Linked DNA regions of Mus musculus. The main gene of each other region encodes a partner of the protein of the gene in region 2 in a complex. Links are inferred from orthologs where the notes say so. Each region holds a gene or a part of one and is shown on either strand. Other genes may lie near its edges.

Evidence for each region. Proteins that work in one complex are often made in the same cells at the same time.
Region 1: Lamtor4 (region 2) and Lamtor2 share a complex: the UniProt entries of both Homo sapiens proteins name them as parts of the ragulator complex. The link is inferred for Mus musculus from reciprocal best matches to the Homo sapiens genes LAMTOR4 and LAMTOR2.

Annotation. Positions count from the first base shown.
Region 1 is NC_000069.6:88,547,075-88,557,162, reverse strand, and holds Lamtor2 (ragulator complex protein LAMTOR2), read left to right. Parts: upstream 1-4,211; 5' UTR 4,212-4,299; coding exon 4,300-4,367; exon of another isoform or gene 4,368-4,433; intron 4,434-4,645; coding exon 4,646-4,808; coding exon of another isoform or gene 4,809-4,829; exon of another isoform or gene 4,830-4,933; intron 4,934-6,377; coding exon 6,378-6,467; intron 6,468-7,158; coding exon 7,159-7,215; 3' UTR 7,216-7,344; downstream 7,345-10,088. Other genes in the region: Ubqln4 (ubiquilin-4), read right to left, coding at 244-506, 1,171-1,373, 1,674-1,825, 3,251-3,358; Rab25 (ras-related protein Rab-25), read left to right, coding at 9,088-9,130. UniProt on the Homo sapiens protein: As part of the Ragulator complex it is involved in amino acid sensing and activation of mTORC1, a signaling complex promoting cell growth in response to growth factors, energy levels, and amino acids.
Region 2 is NC_000071.6:138,251,135-138,261,188, forward strand, and holds Lamtor4 (ragulator complex protein LAMTOR4), read left to right. Parts: upstream 1-4,347; 5' UTR 4,348-4,666; coding exon 4,667-4,669; intron 4,670-5,118; coding exon 5,119-5,199; intron 5,200-7,520; coding exon 7,521-7,638; intron 7,639-7,905; coding exon 7,906-8,003; 3' UTR 8,004-8,261; downstream 8,262-10,054. Other genes in the region: Nxpe5 (neurexophilin and PC-esterase domain family, member 5), read left to right, coding at 1-510; Map11 (microtubule-associated protein 11), read right to left, coding at 9,107-9,260, 9,380-9,573, 9,701-9,855. UniProt on the Homo sapiens protein: As part of the Ragulator complex it is involved in amino acid sensing and activation of mTORC1, a signaling complex promoting cell growth in response to growth factors, energy levels, and amino acids.

The sequences.
Region 1 (10,088 bases), on a different chromosome or scaffold from region 2:
ATAAGCCCCAGAGCAGGGTTGGAGCCCTTACTATGTTCCTAAGGCATCATTATGTCCAGCACTGCCTGCACATCTGTCCCACTTGGCTTAGGGTCAAGGAGTTCCTGACCCATGTCTGTTCATAACCATATCAAGTGTTCAAAGCACACCAGCTCAACTCAATGAACAAGAAGAAGGAGCAAACCGGAAGTTCAGAACAGCCAACACCAGCGTCCGCCCTCCCCAGTCTTCTCCCAGACCCACCTGCCTCATGAGCTCTGGGTTGTTGAGCATGTGGCTGATCTCGGGGTTCCTCTCCATCAGCTGCTGCATCTGGGGATTAGCCATGATCATGTGGCGCATCAGATCAGGGTTTGACATCATATCCTGGACCAAGGGGTTCTCCATGATCTGCGACAGCATCTCAGGATTGGACATGAGCTGTCTCTGCATCTGTTGCTGCAGCTCCATAAAGTTGGCGGAGCCCAGGCCCAGGCTGCCCAGTCCCAGGATGCCTCCGAAGCCAGCTGTGGGAAGGAGCAGGGTCAGAGTCTCCCTCTCAGACCCTTCCAAGATCCAGCAGACTTTCCAAGATAGACCCTAATTGCTTCTGACATGTCCCTCCCTCTTCAGTCACTCCCACAACTCCAGGAAAGAGACCTCTATAAAGGCAGGGGGCAAGCTAAGCATAGCATTGAACAGAAGTAGACCCACCTTTCTCCATTCCCCTCTTTACCCAGGACTCCCCTCCCCCAACGCCATCTTTCCTTTTGTTCCTGAACTTGAGTCCATCTCTGAAATCATGGAAACCATCATAAGGGCTGGTGAGATGGCTCAGTGGGTACGAGCACCCGACTGCTCTTCCAAAGGTCCAGAGTTCAAATCCCAGCAACCACATGGTGGCTCACAACCATCTGTAAGGAGATCTGACTCCCTCTTCTGGAGTGTCTGAAGACAGCTACAGTGTACTTACATATAATAAATAAATAAATCTTTAAAAAAAAAAAAAAAAACCATCATAAACCGATCATTCATTCCCCACCCCAGCTTGGCTTAAGTTCCAACATCTGGAAGAGTGACTACGGTCATGGGACTAGGACTAGGGATCAGGGACCATTCTTCTTCTTTATCTTTGTGCACCCCACTCCCCTGGCCAATACAAAATTATGCTCTCCCCCGCTAAAGGCTTACAGAGGATCGATGCAGTAGCACTTGAGGGCCCCTCTGCAGCCACTGGAGAGGGCCCCCCTCCACTGCCAGCATCTGAAGTTGTATTGCCAGAGCTGCAGGGCTGGACAGGGGCGGCGGCAGGTGAGGCAGGCGTGGTGGAGGGTGCAGAGGCAGAGTCAGGAGTGGATGGAGGAGAAGCAGCAGCAGTCACTGGATCTTGAGCCCTGAGGACAAAGAGTAGGGAAACCTGGCTGGAGTGTGCACAAGTGACAAGGTGGCCTTGGACTGACAGCTCAAGCCACCTCCTAAGCAGCCTTGTTCCACCCTTACCCCAGGCTAGCAGGATGCTGGGGAGAGGGATGGTATCAGTTATCAACAGTCTCTAAGGCAACCTGGGAGTACTGACAGGCTCCCCCAGAGGTAAGACCTTATCCATCTGTGCCAGGCCTGGCTGCTGAACAGGTGAGAAAGAATGGGAGGTGAGGTCACAATCAGGAGCAAGGGCAGCTCCTGTCTGTACTTACTTCTGAGGGGTTTTGATGACTAGGTGGACTGTGAGCCCATCCTTGATGCCGTGCTGGCTCAGGGTGTCCCCATCCTTGAGGATCTTGCCTGCGAAGATCAGGACCAGCTGATCCTGCTGAGCCTTAAACCTCCGGGAGATCTCCTCCTTGAACTGTGGTCAAGAGGCAGAGATCACTGCAGAGGCCAACTGCGCCCCGCTGCAAGACTTGACCCTCAGTTCTGCCCCTCTAGCTACAAGAATCCATTCAATTAGTTCCATGACACAGTATCCCAACCCTGGAAAGCCCCTGCTGCTATCCACAACAGCAGCTTCTGTCCCACCACCCAATTCTCTGAAAGTGATACCTCACAGAGGCATGGGCAGCCCTCCCCATCCTAAATCCTTCAACTAGCCTTGGGCTCAGGCTGTCTCTCTTCAGCCTTCTCTCTGCTTTTCAGTCCCAGCTTCCTCATCACTATAACAGATAATCTAGAGTATTATTGAGATCTATTGAGGAATCTAGTGTGTTAGTTACCATCTCTACTTAATTAAATTAATTAAATTTAATTAATTAATTAATTAATTAAGAGACAGGGTCTCTGCATGTAGCTCTTGCTGTCCTGGAACTTTCTATGTAGACCTCGAACTCAGATAGATCCACCTGCTTCTACCTCCCCAGGGCTGGGAATTTAAAGATAAGGATCAGAGAAGAGGTAATGTATCCGGGGATATAGGAACTCAGGTCTGGACATCAATGTCTTCATCAGACACATTCTCAATAAGAGCTGTTTTATAATTCAGCTTTTCCCAGGGGACTTAAAATTCTCTAATGAGAGAGCAGCAGTGGTACCAACGGCTACACTGGGGCGAGTTAAATTTTCTAGATTCTATCAGCTCCTCCAAAACACAACACAACACAACACATATTCTAACTATAAACAGTGCACTTGCTAAGCAAAAGATCCCTCTCTTCCAACCAGATGGCCTATTCTAAGCCCCGCCTATGTGCAATTCTGGAGCAGCTTCAAGCAGTGGGGAACACAGGCAATACTCCCTCACTCATTCTATATTATTTTGTTGAGCACCTACTGCGCTCAGCAAATCCTGTAGAGCAGAAAACTGAACTACACAACCGTTTCGATTTGCGACAAGGAGGCTCTGTGGAGAGAGAGAGAGAGGGAGAGAGAGAGAGAGAGGGCACCACCACCACGCGACACTCCCGGGAGAGCATAGCCGCAGCTCGCTCGGGCCGCACGGTGCCTTAGCGCCTGGAACCTCTACCAGTGACCCTGGAGCACACTCTCCTCAAGCCTAGGCTCCAAATGGAGCCCGCAAGCAAGGTGTCCCTTCCTCAAGCTCCCCCACCACGCCCCCAGCCCGGGTAGCGCGGCCAAACCGGCCCCTACCCGCGCCACGCTCCCCGGACTAGCCCTGGCAGGGCGCCCCCTACCCGCTTCTCCCGCCTGTATGCCCCTGGATTCCGCCCCGGCCGGGGGCCCGTCCCCGGCGCCAGGCCGACCCCGAGGTCTCCCTCTCTGCTCTGACCCCCTCGGTGCGCTGCTCCCGCCCTCCTGTCTCCTCCCAGCCAGATACTACCTCCTTGACCGAGGCTTGATCGCAGATCACGATCTCCTCCTTGTCCTTGGGGGTCTTGACGGTGACCCGAATCTGGGGCCTCGTCTCAGCCCCACTCGGCTCCGCCATGCCGCCGCCCGGCCGCCCGCCAGCCCGTCCGGCTCCTCCTCCTCCTCCTCCCGGCCCGCCCGGCCCGGCCCGACTCCGGGGCCTCCAACTCCCCCTCCCGCCCCTCCCCAAGGCTCCGCCGCCCACTCCGGACAGCCGCAGCCACAGCGCCCCGGGCGGCCTGGGGGAGCACTGCAGCTGGGGCGGCCCAGGCCCGAGCAGGGTGCGCAGCTGGCCCGGGCCGGACAGCGCGGAGGGCGGGAGATTCAGGGCCGCCTGCGGCTCCCTCCTGTTCGGACAAAGGACTTTCGTTGTCGCCGTCTTATCTCCGTTCCCTGGGGTCACTTGGTTTTCTTGAGAGGCCTGGGTTCGTTCCTGGTTCAGGACGTCCTTAAGACCTCTGCGGATTCGAGCAGTCGTGGCCTCCGGGGAACCGCCCCGAGGGAGCCATTAAGGACGGTTTCAGAGACCTGGAGTTTGCCTACGTGGCTTCTCTGAGCCTTGGGAGTAAAAGAGCAAGACCCCACAGAATTGTGACTAGCGTACAATATTGCTTTAAAAAATGGTCAAGGATGTGCCTAACAGATAGATTTATTATTAGATTGCGATTGACCAGTAGGCACGAAGGCGTCCTTCGCGTGGAAGATGTTAAAAGTATTTCCACCGTTGCCACTGTCCTTGCGCTCCCGCTCTCCCCCCCCCCAACTCCACAACCACATGGTCCCACTGGAACGCTGAACTATGGTTCCCAGAATTCCTTGAGCGATCACATGAAACTACGATTCCCAGAGGCCCTCGCGCGGGGCGGGAATTGGGCCAGAGCCTCAGTAGATGGGCCCGGTGACTACAACTCCCAGGCGCCTCGTAGCTGGGCTCCTGGGCCACCGGAAGCGACTGAGGGAGAGCAAGAGGCTGCGACTGTAGGGGTGTGTTGGTGCAGGTCAGGGTTAAGAGACGCAGGCATGCTGCGTCCCAAGGCTTTGACGCAGGTGCTAAGCCAAGCCAACACTGGAGGAGTCCAGAGCACCCTGTGAGTGAACAAGAACCCAAGCAGCGAGCGCTGGAATGGGGCGGCGCGCGGCTGTCTGCAGTAGGGGTAGGGAAGAGCCCTACGCCGGGAGGTGGCTAATGTTGCAAGCTGCAGCTTCGGAAACCCTGCTTGAGGGCTTCCTCGGAAAGGGAAATGGACAGTTGATTAGCGTGTTCCTGGATTCTTGCTTCCTAAAAGCGCCAGTAGCTGGAATTGGGATAGGAACTCAGACCTTTCACTCTTCCTGAGTTTGTTGATATCCTTCCCATTCTTGCCAGGCTGCTGAATAATGAGGGATCGCTGCTGGCCTACTCCGGTTATGGGGACACAGATGCCCGGGTCACTGCGGCCATCGCCAGTAACATCTGGGCCGCGTATGATAGGAACGGGAACCAAGCGTTTAATGAAGACAGTCTCAAATTTATCCTGATGGACTGCATGGTATGGAGTAAAGTAGGCTGACTTCGAACTTGCAATGATTATCCTGCTTCTGCCACCTCAACCCTGAGATTGCAGGTGTGCACCATCGCACCTTGCCAAATAAAACATAGATATTAAAAAAGGAAGTGAGAGTACGGTGCTGGCCTATGTGAGGGTCCATCTCAGTGAAAAGGAGACATTTGTTAAAAGATCCGAAGGACGATAGGAAAGGGGAAGAGAATTAAGCCATACAGCAATCATTTGGGGAAATATTTCTAACAGTGCTTGCTATGGTGGCTTATGCCTCTAGTTCAGTACACGAGAGACTGAGGCAGGCTCTCTTCGAGTATTTGTTTTCTTTCTTTCTTTTTCTTTTTTTGTTTTTCGAGACAGGGCTTCTCTGTGTAGTCCTGGCTGTCCTGGAACTCACTCTATAGAATCAGGCTGAACTCTGAAATCTGCTAGCTTCTGCCTCCCAAGTCCTGGGACTAAAGGTGTACACCACCACCGAGCAGACTTTGCAAGTATTTCTGACAACAGCAATTGCAAAGGGCCGAGGGCGGAGTGAGGCTTGGACAAAGATCAGTAAAGATGGAGCATCACAGAATGGGAAAAGGTTGTCGGGAGAAAGGGCTAAAGTCCTCTGAAGAGTGGCAGTGTGCAGAACTGAAAAAGGTGTTTGCAGTGGGGAAGGCCCCTTGGGAAGCTCTTCACTGTCATGCTGGCAGCCCATTCTTTACACCCACTCTCATTCACACTGGGTACTGAGTCCAGGGCTGGTGTCACTGCAGCCTAGCTAAGCTCTAAGAAATGCTTTTTAAGGGACAGATGTGGAGCTCAGTGGTAGAGCAGTTGCCTAGAGTGTTTGGGATTCTAGAACCCATTCCAAGAAACACAGTTTTTATTTTTGAGTCAGAGGCTAGTATACACACTGGAGCAAGTTCTGTGAAACATCACTTCTCTCACATAGATGTGCCATGACATTTTTATTGTTATTTTCAAATGTTGACCCACCCTAATTGATCCCCATTTTGAAAAGTTACACCATAGGAAAAGAAGAGACATAAGTTGGGTTGTGTGTGTGTGGGGGGGAGTTGTTTTTACCTTTTTAAGGTTTGTTTTATTCTGTATGTATGAGTTGCTTTGCCCAGGTGGTATATATGTGCCCCATGTGCATGCATGATGCCCCCAAGGAGGCTGAAAGAAGGCATTGGAGCCCCTGAACTGCTGTTATAGATGATTGTGAGCACAGTGTTGGTGTTGGGATTCGAACTCAAGCCTACTGCCAGAGCAGCATACGAGTTGGGTTCCTGGTCCTGACCTGCTGAGACAGTTCTCGGCATTAGAGAAGAGAACCCCAAGTTCTGGAAGACTTGGTTTCCCAGGATAGCTTGGTTAGCACATGGCTCAGCTGAGGCTGGAATCCAGTTTCAGACCCCCATGTCTTAAATGCTGGGCAGAGCTCCTAGCTGAACTTCCTGCTCTGCTAAGCTTGGGAGACAATGTCACTAGGACCAGAGGAACCCTGGGGAAGGCAGGAACTAAGGATGTCAAGCAGAATGCCCCAAAGTATCATGTCCTTCCCACCAGGAGGGCCGTGTAGCCATTACGAGGGTGGCCAACCTTCTGCTATGTATGTATGCCAAGGAGACCGTAGGCTTCGGAATGCTCAAGGCTAAGGTGAGTATATTCCTCTGTTATAAACTTTCTGGGCTGTAACATCTATGCATGCCCTTGCTCTGAATAAAGGACATGGAGACTTTAATTAGGTTTATTATGAGCTTTGGGCACTATAGCTGGGCAGATTCTCAACTATTCTAACCCAACCATATTGGCTTGGCCTATGTCCATGACCCATTACCTGTCCATCTTAGTCATGTCCTGGTACCTGCTTCCTCATCTTTGTCCAGCTGGCAACTCCTCTCCCAGAATTCCTATCTCTTCCTGGAAGTCCCACCTCCTACTTCCTGCCTTTGCTTTTTAATAAGCTGATCAAAAGGTGAGCGAGAGTGTTTACAAAATATGTAGCCAAATGAAACCAAATGAACCAAAGTCCAGTCTGCATTAAACTCTGCTGGCACAGAAATCGGCATTTGAATAATAATACAAAGATGATCTTTACATAGGGCGCAATATCATCATCCCAGCACTGATCCAGCCTTAGTTCCTGTTCACTGTGTTCCTTACATGTCCCTCCCCTCTCTGGAGTTCTCATAGCTCCTCACTCCATGTCTAGGATGGGCTAAAGAGCAGTGGGGGTGGGCTGGGGGGGGAGTTGGCTGCTAAGTGTGGCGTGGGGAGCCAGCGTGGTTCAGGGATCCGTCTAAGCATAAGCGATGCATGGACTGACTGTGCTCCTGCCTCCTTGCAGGCCCAGGCCCTGGTGCAGTACCTGGAGGAACCCCTCACCCAAGTAGCAGCATCATAACAGCGTGATGGAGGCTGGAGTAGAAAAGGGATGATGATCTGGAGGGAGGGGCGGGGCCCTAGAAACGCCATATCGGGCGAGGTACAGGAAGGGGGGGTTGCTTTTTTCTGAATAAATTTTCAACTCTTACCTGTGTCTCACCTGCTTTCTTGGGAGGAAAGTGTGGAGTGGTTTCCTCGGGAGGATTCCCCTCTCCTGCAAAGGTGGGCTCTCTCATTCCCCATCACCAAATCTCTCAGTGGTTCTTGGCAGGGCTGCCCAGTGCCCTTGGCTTCTCCAGTGCTGTGTCTCATCATACTCCTAATTGCTTTTTTTTTCCATTAATTTATATGTTTATTCTATTTACATTGCAAAAAGCTCCCTTCCCATCCTCCCAGAATTGCTTTTCTTTAAACAATTTGTTTTTTGGTTTTTGTGAGACAGGATTTCTCTGTATAACCCTGGCTGTCCTGGAATTCACTTTGTAGACCAGGCTGGCCTCCAACTCAGAAATCCGTCTGCCTCTGCCTCCCAAGTGCTGGGATTAAAGGTATGTGCCACTACACCCGTGTGAAAAAATTGTTTAGGTTATTTTATGTACATGAGTGTTTTGACTGTTTGTGTGTCTGCACTTGTGCCTGTAAAGGGCATCAGATATCCCTGAAACCAGAGTTAGCAGGTGGCTGTGAGAGAGCTATGCTGAGAACCTAACCAGGGTCTTCTGCAAGAGCAGCGGTGCCCTTAGCTGCTGAGCTCACTCAACCCTCAGAGCAGAATCTCACCCGCCCGTTTTGCAGCACCTGGGACTGATCTAAAGGAGCAAATGCCTGTTCTTGCTGGACACAGAAAATAGAGGTCACCCTTTCTAATTTAAGGAGTGCTCCTGCTCCTTTCCCTACCTTTTCATGATCCTCTCTGCAGCATTTGTTTTAATTTAAAAAAAAAAAAATCGTGTGTGAGCACAGCAGACTCCTCTGCATTGCCTTTACTTATTTACTGTTTGCGTACATGACGCGTGGATAGGTGTGTCCCACATACAAGCATGGCAGTCAGAAGATTGACCCCCAGAAGGCCTCAAGGTCTTCATCTCAGATCCTGCACCCATATTCACCGCATCCAGCTCTTTCTGCCCTTGTCTCTGAGATCCGTCCACGAAGGTAGTAAATCTGTTTATTGTATGTTAGGAAGGGACCCATCTGGGCAGGTGGCGTCCCAGCTCCACCTGTGTGAGAAATGCTGCCCCTCCCTGGCCTGGGGCTGTTAAGGAGGGGCCGGATGCTGCGTGCTGGTACAGCTCCCAAAACTCTGCATTGTGGGGAGATGCTGTGCCCAGCTTGCATTTCTTGCCCTGATAGCCCTTCCCCTGATGCCCCCCGGTATGTGTCCTTACCAAAACCTGAGATGGGAAAGCTGGAGGCCGGTACGTTTCTGCCCCACCCCGTGTCTACTTCAGCCCAGTGGCAGCTCTCCTTCTTAGAACCCCCAAAACCCAGCAATGTACACTCGGGCTCGCCGCAGCCTCACCCACTGTTACCTCTGTGACCAGGCCCTCTTATTTGGGGGAGTGTGGGCCAAGAGCAGACACCTAACCTGTTTAACCTGTCTGACGTCATCATCGCTCCACCCACCTGTGCCCCAGGTGCCCAGCGGAGCTGGCTAGCTCTTCCTGTTCTCAGCTTCCGTCCTCTCAGCTCCCACAGAGTAGCTAAACGTGCCAGAGCTGAGCCTCTGGGGCTCTTCCTGGCCTCAACTGAGCCCTCTTGTCCTTTTCCCCCAATGAGAGAGGAGCCAGGTGCAGGTCTCTTAAAAGCTGAGAGTTGAGGCCATTTAAACAATAAACAGACTCGTGACCTCTGCACCTGCAAACGTCTTCACTCTCCATGCTGAGCCAAGATGGGGAATCGAACAGATGAAGATTATAACTTTGTCTTTAAGGGTAAGTTGGGGTTCTCGAAAAGGGAGACTCCAGAGAGGGTGGGAGAGAGGCTATTTCCAGAGGACACAGGGTCTCCCTTTTATTTTTATCTCTACCTTGGACATTCTCCCCCCACCCGTCCCCAAGCTCAGCATTCCTTCTCCGAGAGAAAGGCCATGAGGAGTAGGCATGTCTGGTTACAGGTACAGATGTTCTGGAGTTGTATGCTCTCTATAAAGATGTGGATAATTTCTCCCTATTGCCAAATTATTCTTCCCTGCCCAGTCTCTAATAGATGCTCAAATCCCTGGGAATGTCAGTGAAGCCCAAGAGATGGAAGTCGGACTTCAGAAAGGACTTTCAGAGTAGAGGGAGAAGCAAGCCTATTTAAGAGGAAGAAAGTCATCTCTACCAGCAGATGCGTAGGAAGGGGTGCGCCCCCCCCCCCACCCCCCACCCCCCACCCCCCCCCCCCCGCAGTCATTGTTGATCTAGGTAGTTGACACATAGGGAAGTTGATACTTAGGTAGTTGATACACCCGGACAATGCATTGACTCTCCAGCCATCTAATGGATTCCACAGGACTCCTGGGCTGCAGCCTGTGCCATGCATGGCCTCTTGTACCACACAATCTTTGGACCCAGATACTAGGCACAGGGTTTGCTGGGCTGTTTCTGACAGTGCACATGCATCCTGCCTGCTTGCTTTCCCTCAGCTCCTGGTGTTTGGTCTCTCTGTGGGTCTCTAGCTCTCCTTCTTGAAGGCTAGGTGGCCTGGTGGCACTCTCCTTTCCTTTGCACCACACCCACAGCCTCTCCCAACCTCAGCCCCACCCTGGCCCAAGCTGGGGAGCCTGTACTCCTGGCATTTTCCCAAGGAATCTGGTGGGGCTGTGGCCATGGTATAGTAACTCCCGTTTGTTGAGGCCCTACTGGGTGCCACTCTCACACACTCATCTTACAGCCCTGGTGTGAGCTA
Region 2 (10,054 bases):
GTCACTTATCAGGTAGGTCCTCTGATGGCTGTGGAGACAACTCGGGGGACAGTGTTGCACTGGAGGGCCCACAGCTGGCCCCTGCGTTCTCTCCGCACCCCAGTGGCCTCCCTGCACTCTGTGGCCAGAGAACTACACGGCCTGGCTGGGGGACCCTACACAGTGGTGGTGCTGGGCATCGGGGCCCACTTTACCACTTTCCCTCCCTCCATCTTTGCCCGAAGACTGGTAGGGATTCGGGCAGCTGTGAAGGCCCTGTTGGACCACGAACCCAGTACTCTGGTCATCATCAAACTGGCCAATACTGGCTACAAATCCGTGTATGGCAGTGACTGGCTCACACTGCAGGTGAATCGCTTGCTCCGAGCTGCCTTTGTTGGTCTCCGAGTGGCCTTTGTGGATGCATGGGAAATGACCTCCACCTTGAATGTGCCAGACAACATCCACCCAAGGAAGCTTATTGTCCGCAATGAAGTGGAATTATTTCTGTCCTTCATCTGTTCCACCTGAGTGTTCCTGAGGGATCTGAGGCTGCATGGATGGAGAGCCTGGGTGTGGCCACCGAAAAAATGGACTCCGAATGACAGAAAGCTGAAGCTACCCCTGGCTCACCCACTATGACACTTGGTTCCATATTTTATACTTCTCTCTATGCACCACATGGACAATCTAGTTTTATATTAGGAGACCATGTTTTGCATATATGTACACAATCCCTTTCTGAATATAAGATCTTAGGGCATCCTGTTCTATCACTGTCACCTTTGTTCTTTGAGAAAGGGTCTCTGGACTCTAGAGCTAGGCTGGCAGCCAGAAAGTTTCAAACATCTTTTTCTTTGTGTCCACAGCTCTGGAGTTACAGGCACAAAGTTCATATCAGATCTTTAAATGTGTTGCTGGGAACTCAAACTCAAACCCTCGTGTTTACACCCTTACCTACTGAACTATCTCCCAAACCCCTCTTTTTAATTTTTTTTTTAAAAGACAGCTTTTAGCTGGATGGTGGAGCCACATACCTGCAATCCCAGCACTAGGGAGGCAGAGGCAGGAGTATCTCTGAAAGTTTCTGCCTGGTCCACAGAGTGAGTTCCAAGACAGCCAGGGCTACAGAGAGAAATGCTGCCTTGAAAAACCAGCATACTAGGCTTGCTGATGTGAGGCCCCTAACACATATACAGCAGAGGACGGCCAGGTCTGGGTTGTCAGAGAAGATTCACCTAACCCTCAAGAGACTGGAGGCCCCAGGGAGTGGAGTGGTTTGGTGAGGTGGTGGTTGGGGAGGTGGGGACATCCTTGTGGAGACAGGGGGTGAGGAGGAGGTATGGGATGGGGAACAGTCACAGGGTAGACCAGGAGTGGTATAAAATCTGGAGTGTTTAAAAAAAAAAAAAACCATTCTGAGTTCGAGGTCAGCCTGGTCTACAAAGTGAGTTCCAGGACAGTCAGGGCTACACAGAGATACCCTGTCTCAAAAAAAGAACAACAACAACAACAACAACAACAACAACAACAACAAAAGGAATAGAGAACATCTTAGGTCAAGAGAGACAAACAGCCGGGCGGTGGTGGCGCACGCCTTTAATCCCAGCACTTGGGAGGCAGAGGCAGGCGGATCTCTGGTTCGAGGCCAGCCTGGTCTACAAAGTGAGTTCCAGGACAGCCAAAGCTATACAGAGAAACCCTGTTTGAAAAAACAAAACAAAACAAAAAAAGAGGGACAAACAGCATCCCTCCCCCAGCCTGGGGAACTGCTAGTATCTATTACTCTAACTACCTCTCACCAAGCTAAATGCTTAGGTTCAACATAAGTAAACTACTGGGGCTAGAGAGAAGGCTTTAGTAGGTTTGATTCCCAGCAATATTGTGATGGCTCACAACCATCTGTAACTCCAATTCCAGAGAATCTAATCCCTTCGTCCAACCTCTTTAAGCCTTGCATACAGGTGGAGCACATGAATACAAACAAAATGTGCATGCACATACGGTCAAGTTAATATATCCATTTTTTTCCCAAATTACCAATGTCCAAGCTTGCCTGCAGGCATGGAGGCTGAAGAGATGGCTTGGTGCTGTGAGTGTTTGCTGCTCTTGCAGAGCACCCCAGTTAGATGAGTAGCTTAAAACTCCCTGTAACTCTTGTTCCCATGGAAACAATGACCTCTTCTGGCCATCATGGGCACCTGCACGCAGATGGCATATACTCACACAGATACTCAAAGCTACACAAAATAAAAATAAAAATAAAAATAAAGCAGGGCATGGTGGCACAGGCCTTTAATCCCAGCACTATGGAGGCAGAGTCGTGTGGATCTCTGAGTTCAAGGCCAGCCTGGTATTAAAATATTAAAGTCCAGCAATCAAAAGCCTCCCTTTGGTCACCTTAATTATCATGTCTAATCAAAACAAAGCAACTCATTCTATCACAGGTTTCTTATTTTACTTTTATAAACTGCCATTTGCCTAAGGACCATGCCTGTCTCCACTTTATCCAGAGGTAGTCACTTTGTCTGGAGCAAATATTTCTTTCCCCTCTCCCTTGTCTTCTATCCACACTCTTTGTCCCTCTGGAGCAAATAAATCTCTCCTTTGTGTTGGGAACTTGGTCCTGGTGTGTCCTGTGCAAATTCCAGTCTTTTCAAACAGAACATCAAAAGCAAAAATCTTGTACCTGTCAGTGAATGGTGGAGCACACCTTCAATCATAGAACTTCAGAGGCAGAGGCCAGAGGAGCTCTTTGGGTTCTAGGCTAGCTTAGTCTACATTAGTGATATTCTGTCTCAAGAATGACCAATCAACCAACCAACCAACCAACCAACCAACCAACCAACCAACCAATTAAGCCAACAAGCAAATTGCCCTTGACAACAGCTGCCAGGTAAACCATTTCCAACAGAGATCCCCAGGGCTCACGCATGGTAAAAAAGTTCCTGCAATGTTATAGAGAAGCTGAATGCTCAGTCATGGTGTGAAAACGTAATCCAGAACTCCAGCTAGCAACCTCAGCCTCTCCAGGTTGGTTTTGGATGGATGTCTGTAAGCTCCCAATTTCATGATTTCTGTTCTTTTACTTAGAAGCCTTCCCTGAAGAAACTCTCTGCTCTGCCCAGAACTCTGTCTGTTCGTAGTTGTCTTAAAGGGACTTCCTCAGGTAGTTTTGGCTGGATACTTGGATACTTGAGTACCTGATTTGATGGAAATTGATGTGCTTCTCTCTCTCTCTCTCTCTCTCTCTCTCTCACTCACTTTATAAAGTCACTCGTTCAAAATAAAAATTGTGGCTACTGTAGACCATTCTCTGGATTGTACAAAGCAGCTGTTGATATTTGTATACCCACTTCAGAGCAATGGTGCCAAGCACCTTTGCCCGCTGAGCCACTTTGCCAGCCCTACTTCAATTTTTTGGTCATGATGATTGAATCTGGGGCCTATGCATGCTAGGCAAGTTTTGAAACGATAGCTACAGCCTTGCCTCATTTTCTCTAATTAGCTGCTGCTTCTACAAGATGATTTGGGGTGGACGACTTTCTTTGTTTAGTGCTGTGGGTACAGACCCACACCCAGTATGCATAAGGCCCTGACTTTGCTTCTTGGCACTGAAAATAAATGGGGTGGGGGATATAATTCACTAATTTAGTGTACAACTTAGTAACTTCGGCACATTCACAAAGATATGCAGACTTCAATATGAATTCCAAAAAGCTTAAATCACATGCCCTGCCATACCCTCATTAATAAGCACTTCCTATTTTTTCTTGCCCCACTACCAACTAGTAATTGCTTTCAGTTTTTCTGTATTTGCAAGAAGTGTATGTGTTTTAATCAGGATCTTGGTAGGTAGCTCAGGCCTCAGTCTGGCACTGAACTCCCTATTCAGCCCAATCCTCGGCCTCTCAGGCTTTAAACTAGGATTACAAGCATTCGGCAATAGTCACAGCTAAGCGTCTTACATAGATGGGACCACATAATATATAGCCTTATGAACCTGCCCTTTCACAACCCGTCCTTTTGGTTGGGTCTGAGCCTCTGAAGGCTGAGTGGTCTCTGAAGCCATCTCCCTGGCCTGCTTTCTCTTGTTTTGGAGATTCTCAAGCTGCATTTGGTGTCAGGACATTATCATCTTGTATTGATCTTACACTACTGTGTGTACACAGCAAATTTGATTTACTCATTCATAGCCATATTTGGGCCGATCCACTCTTAACACATATACTCAAGGCAGAAAGTTAACACGTGAACAGCTTTTCACGTGTAAACCAAACCATCGTCTTTCACATTGGTACATTAGTTTCTCTTTTCAGGTTGAACAGTGACACCTAAGACTCCTCTTACATCACCGGACTGTTCTACTTTCTTCTTGGAAGCCACCGGCAGATGCATATTCCTATTGCAAAGGATAGAAGCAGTGCACGTTCGTGTGGCGACACTGCCCCGCGACTCTCCGGACAACTCTCGCAGGCAAATCCTGAGGGGCGGGGAAATGCAACCAATCCACGAATGTGTTCGGAAAGCGGGGCTCCGCAGTGGTTGATAAAGTATAATGACATACCCGCCATCCAATCCTCAAGCGAAGGGCTGGGCTACAGTCAGCTGGTGAAACCACCTGACCCGAGCCTGGAGCCGGAAACTACCTATCCGGCAGACTGCTTACACTGCACCTACGGCTGCGATGGTGAGTGTGGACGCATGCGCGGGTGTGCACGCCTGCGGTTCCGCGTCCCTGTTTTCCGAGCTTCTGTTGCCACCTTATGGCTTGCATTTCACTGTCACCTCCAGTCCACCCTGGGACCGAAAGGGAACAGAGATGGGAGGGAAGCGACAGGGAGGGCTGGAGAAGGAAGGCTCCGCTACCGGGTGTTCTGCAGCGGGGGAGTAGTCTAGATGGCACAAGGGGCGGGGCATAAGGGGACTGGAGTGGGAAGGGACATGAGGAGGGGTTGAGGGGCTAGGAAGGCCTCCTGGGTCACCTACATGACAAGTGGAAGAGCTCAGAGGTCCAATAGTGACCGTGGATGGAGACTCAGTGTTACAAGCCATTATGAGGGCCTTGGAAGGCTCATATCCAGGAGGGAGATGGGTTTGCAAGGCTGTCATGATTCTCCTTGTCTCTTTACCCTCTAGACTTCCGCACTGACCCAAGGGCTGGAGCGAATCCCAGACCAGCTTGGCTACCTGGTGCTGAGCGAAGGTGCAGTGCTGGCGGTGCGTTGTGGGAAAGCAAAGCGTGGGGTGGAGGGTGTGTGTGTGTGTGTGTGTGGGGGGGTCCTTTGGGGACACACAGCCCAGAAATCCCTTCAAATATTTCCAAGTTGTCTCTTTTTGTCTTCTCTGTGGTTCCTTGCTTGCCATATAGTAAGCTTTATGTAGTATTTGGATATGTGGTATAAAAGCTAATTACCAAAAGGTTGGGGAGGTAGCTTAGTACGGAGAATGAGTTGCCTAGCATGCACAGAGCCTTCTCTTCAATCCCAATACTGCATAAAACCAAACAGAGTGTAGTCCCAGCACTTGGAAGGTGGAAACAGTGGGTTAGATGTTCAGGCTTATCTTTGGCTACATATCAAATTCAATCACAACCTGGACTACATGTAACTCAGCCTCAAAAAACAACAAACAAACCATTACCCAAGTTATACAATTAGTTAGTTAGTTGTAGTTTGTTTTTATTTGTTAAATTCTTGTAGGGACGCACGTATGGGTGCCACAGGGGGTGAAAGTTCGAGGACACTTTGGAGTGAATTCTCCTGCCATGTGGGTCTTGAGGATTGAACTCAGGTCATCAGGCATTGAGGCAAGCACTTTTATGCTCTGATCCATTTTTGCCTGCCTCTAGAATTTTGGGGGGTGAGGTGGGGTGGGGTGGGGGCAAGACTTCTCTAGAGGCAGGAATTGAGCTACGCTGCAAGGGCAGAAAATTGTGAAAGAGAAAAGAACCCTCAGGGTTGGGAGCCGGGCATGCTTGCCTGAGTGTGCCAGTGCCCGAGTTGGCCGTGGTTTTGTGTTGAAACCATTTGAAGAGGAAGGATGCTGTGGTAAGACTGATACTGAACTTCCTGCGGCTAGCTTCAACATCTTTCGACAAATCTTGAGGGTTAAAGGGTTTTAAAACAACTGTGACTCACAGAAATGGTGTAGCACAAGTGTCCCAGGAGAGCCATATAAGCAGGAAACTGGACTGGTAGCAGTGAGGAGCAAGGACAGAAGACATTTTAGCTTATGTTTTTAGTGCCTGCACGGGTGTGTGCCCATGCATGTGCTGAAGCCATTGTAGGGCATTAGAGACCCACTCTCACCACTCTCTCTGCCTTATTCCTTAAGGCAGGGTCTCTGAACCCGTACCTAGACTGGCGGCCTTGAGCAAGCCTCAGCAGTCCACATGGCTGTACACCCACAGTGCTGGGATTCCAGGTGTGAGTGTGGTCATTCCTGACGGATTTGAACTCAAGTCCTCTTGCTTGTACAGCAAAAACTCTTATCCACTGAGCCACCCCCACAGCCCAGAGATAATTACTAGGTAAAGTACTTCTACATGTACTCTACCTTTCTGAAGTACTTATCCAGTAGGACTCTGAACAGGGGAAACCAGAAAAATACTATGGTACCTGAACAAATAAGACATCAAGAAAGGAAGCTGACCAAGGAGGTAGCTAAGGAGAATTTTGATGGCCTGACTGTAGACACCGAGTGAGATGGAATGCTATCGGTTGTAGTACATTTATTATGTAGGCACTGTTATGTTTTCATTGTTTTCTCATGAGACTTTCACAAGCGCAGAATATAGGCCCAGTATACAGCTGGAGATACCGAGAGCAAAAGGAACTAAATCTAGTTAAGGACCCATTTAGAAGCGGTGGGAAGAGGATGTTGAAACAGTCTGTTCTACTGTCCAGAGGACGTCTGGACTACTGTCTTGTTATTTGCCCAAGGGTTAGCCAGAGGGAAAACTTTAAAGACAAAGTGGGTGTTTCTGCTTCATAGCCTACAGACAGGACAAGTGGGAAGACTGAGTAACAGGTAGAACCTTCAAAGACTGAGCAGTTAGCTCAGTGATATAACATCTGCCTAAAATCCTTCGTGAGGGGCTGTGGGCGTGGCTCAGTAGTAAAACACTTGCCCAGGAGTCTCCCACTGAGGCGCTGGGGGTGTGGCTCAGTGGTAGAGCCCCTGCCTAGAATCCCCCAGTGAGGGGCTGGGGTGTGGCTCAGTGGTAGAGCCCCTGCCTAGAATCTCCCACATGAGGGACTGGGGACCTGATCACTTGGTGATCATACTCTAGGTTTTGACCCCTCACATGGCTATCAAATGAAGCCTGGCATTTCAGAATGAGAAACAAGATGGCACAAGGAAAGACAGCACCATCATAAAGGGGTTGTAGGTGGTATTTTTCTGAAGCTGGGTAATTTGGGACTACGGGCAAGTATAAAGGGAGATCATAAGTATAGGAGGCAGAGGTCCTGTGCCTTGAATTTGTTCCTAACTCTGATGTCTGTCTTTTGCTCCTACCCTCCTTCATCCACACACAGTCATCTGGGGACCTTGAGAACGATGAGCAAGCAGCCAGTGCCATCTCGGAGTTGGTCAGCACAGCCTGTGGCTTCCAGTTGCACCATGGCACGAACATCCCTTTCAAACGCCTGTCTGGTGAGCTCCTGCCTTTGGTGGGGGGGTTTCTTTTAGCGGCCTCACTGCTCAGGGAAGGAATTCCTGGCTCCATTCCACCAACTCCCACTTCCTCCTGTAGTCCCTGGTTCAACTACTGCTTTCATACTAGGTCCCTCTAGGATGAGTACAGAGCAATAAGGACAAGGGGTTGCTTTGTCCTATGCCAATTCTTTTTTTTTTTTTTTTTTTTGTGACCCTCCTTGGTGACCACTGTACCCACTAACTCCTGCTCCCTTCCCTCTGCAGTGGTCTTTGGTGAACACACGCTGCTGGTGACTGTGTCAGGACAGAGGGTGTTTGTAGTGAAGAGGCAGAACCGAGGTCGTGAACCTATTGATGTCTGAGCTATAAAAGGCACGGGCTGGAGAAGAAGCCTGCCTCTGGGGCCTGTCCCCGGGGTGTGGGGGTGGGGAAGCATACCACCTTCTGCTGTCCTTGCTGGAGTTGGGCTTGTGCTCACTACCTCCTTCCTGACCCCCCACCTGAGCGAGGCACCAGGCTTAAGAGACTTCTACGCTAAGGGACTAGGGGAACTATGACTAGGGGGACCCCTTTTCTTCCCTTCTGCCTAATAAACACTAGTCCAACCTGTCTAGGGCTCAGGATGTGTGCACAGAATGGTTTGTCTGGGTGGGGGTGAGGTTACACCTTGTGCCTATCATCGACTTTCTAGGGAGACAGCTATACCTCAGTCAGTGGGCCAGGATCACCACCAGGCATCATAAAACTGACAACTGGAGACAGGTGCGATGGTGCACATCTGTAAGTAAAACTAGGAACCAGAGAAGCATACATACATAGGAAGGCAGCTGTTTGCAAACTGAAGACCATCTCCCTCGTGGTCAACACACAGACAAACTCATACTCCCTCCCAAACAGCTTTTAATAGTTTTACTTCAGCTGGAAGATGTAGTCAGAGAATAAGTTACAGGAACAGACAAAAACAGAAAACAAAAACAGAACTTAAAGTGCTTCAGGCTGCCAACGTAAACATGAGGGGCAGAAAGAGGCCATCCAACCCCTGAGACAGGAGAGTCATTGTCCTGGGTCCCTTTACCACTACCACCCTCTAATCTCAGCCCTGCGGGTGAGTGCAAAGGAACAGCAGCGGCAGTGGCAGGGAGGCTTGAACACGAGTGAGAGAGGATACTCTGTAAACTGGACGAAGGACAGGACAAGGGAGCTCCCGCAGCCCTTGCCCTGCTGGGGTGGGGCCAGCCCTCCCCTCGCGCACCCCCCCCCCCCCGAACTTATGGAATACTGTTGTCTGAGCTGCAGCCACACTGTGATTTCACAGCTTCTGCCCTCATCCCTCACCAGCAGACACAGACAGGCAGCCCTGCAAGGCCTCTCTGCCCACAGTGGGAGGTACAGCCTAGGAACAAGGGACCCTCTGGGGCTTAGGGTTTCTGGCGTGTCCTGTCCGGGGTTGAGCTAGCAAACGGTGCTACTTGACGGGCTCCACCACCAGGACTTTACACTCACGCTTGGCAATCTTATCAAGAGAAAGCACAGCCTTGTCGGGGGGCAGGTAGAGGGGACGGCCGACGGGAGAGGCCACAGGGGGTGTGATGGCCCTGCGTTCCATCACACTGCCTGACCTGGAAGAAGACAGAGGCTGTGGGCTGGCTCTGTGAGAGTATAGCATCCCACTAAGTGGCCTGCTCCTGACCCCAACTCCCAACTCTTGGTCAGACTGATAGCAATCCTAGTCCCTTACCTCATGAGGTGGCTACGGGAAGGCTGCTGGTGGGAGAAAGATTGAGAACGGCCCAGGCTGGCCTGGTGTCTCTCCACCAGGTCTCGGACAGCAGGACTGCTGGGGCTGCTCTTTCGGGACAGGGGCCGGGCTTCAGGCGGAGGGTGGGACACGCTGGCAGTGAACTGCAGCTTCAGTTTCATGTGCTGGCTCAGCTGGATAGGAAGATGCGGACCTCAGACCCACCCTTCCCTGTGCCCAGCCTTCTAGTGCTACCTAAGACGTTAGCTAACCCCTCTAGAAGCAAGAAGCCTCGACTATTCTACCCAACACTGGGCCCACCTCAAAGAGCCCCGTCCTCAGGGCCTGGAAGGCCACACTGAAGGTAAGCGCGCTGCCCTTCCGGGAGAAGCCAAGATTATTGAGGGGTGTGTGACAGACGATGGAGTCTAGGGCTGCCTGCATGGCCCGGCGCTCCTCCTCACACAGCTGCTTTCCTGGGGACAGAAACACATGCTCATCAACACTGGAAAGCTTGCTTCAGCTCCCACAAGTCTTTATCAGCACATGGAGTGTTTAATTGGCAAAGTGCTTTGCCCGGAGTAAACTGAGTAAATGTTATCTTTTGCCGAGGGTTACAGATAACAACGGTTAATGCTGGGTGCTGTGGTCTGTGCTAACCCAGATGGTGTCTGT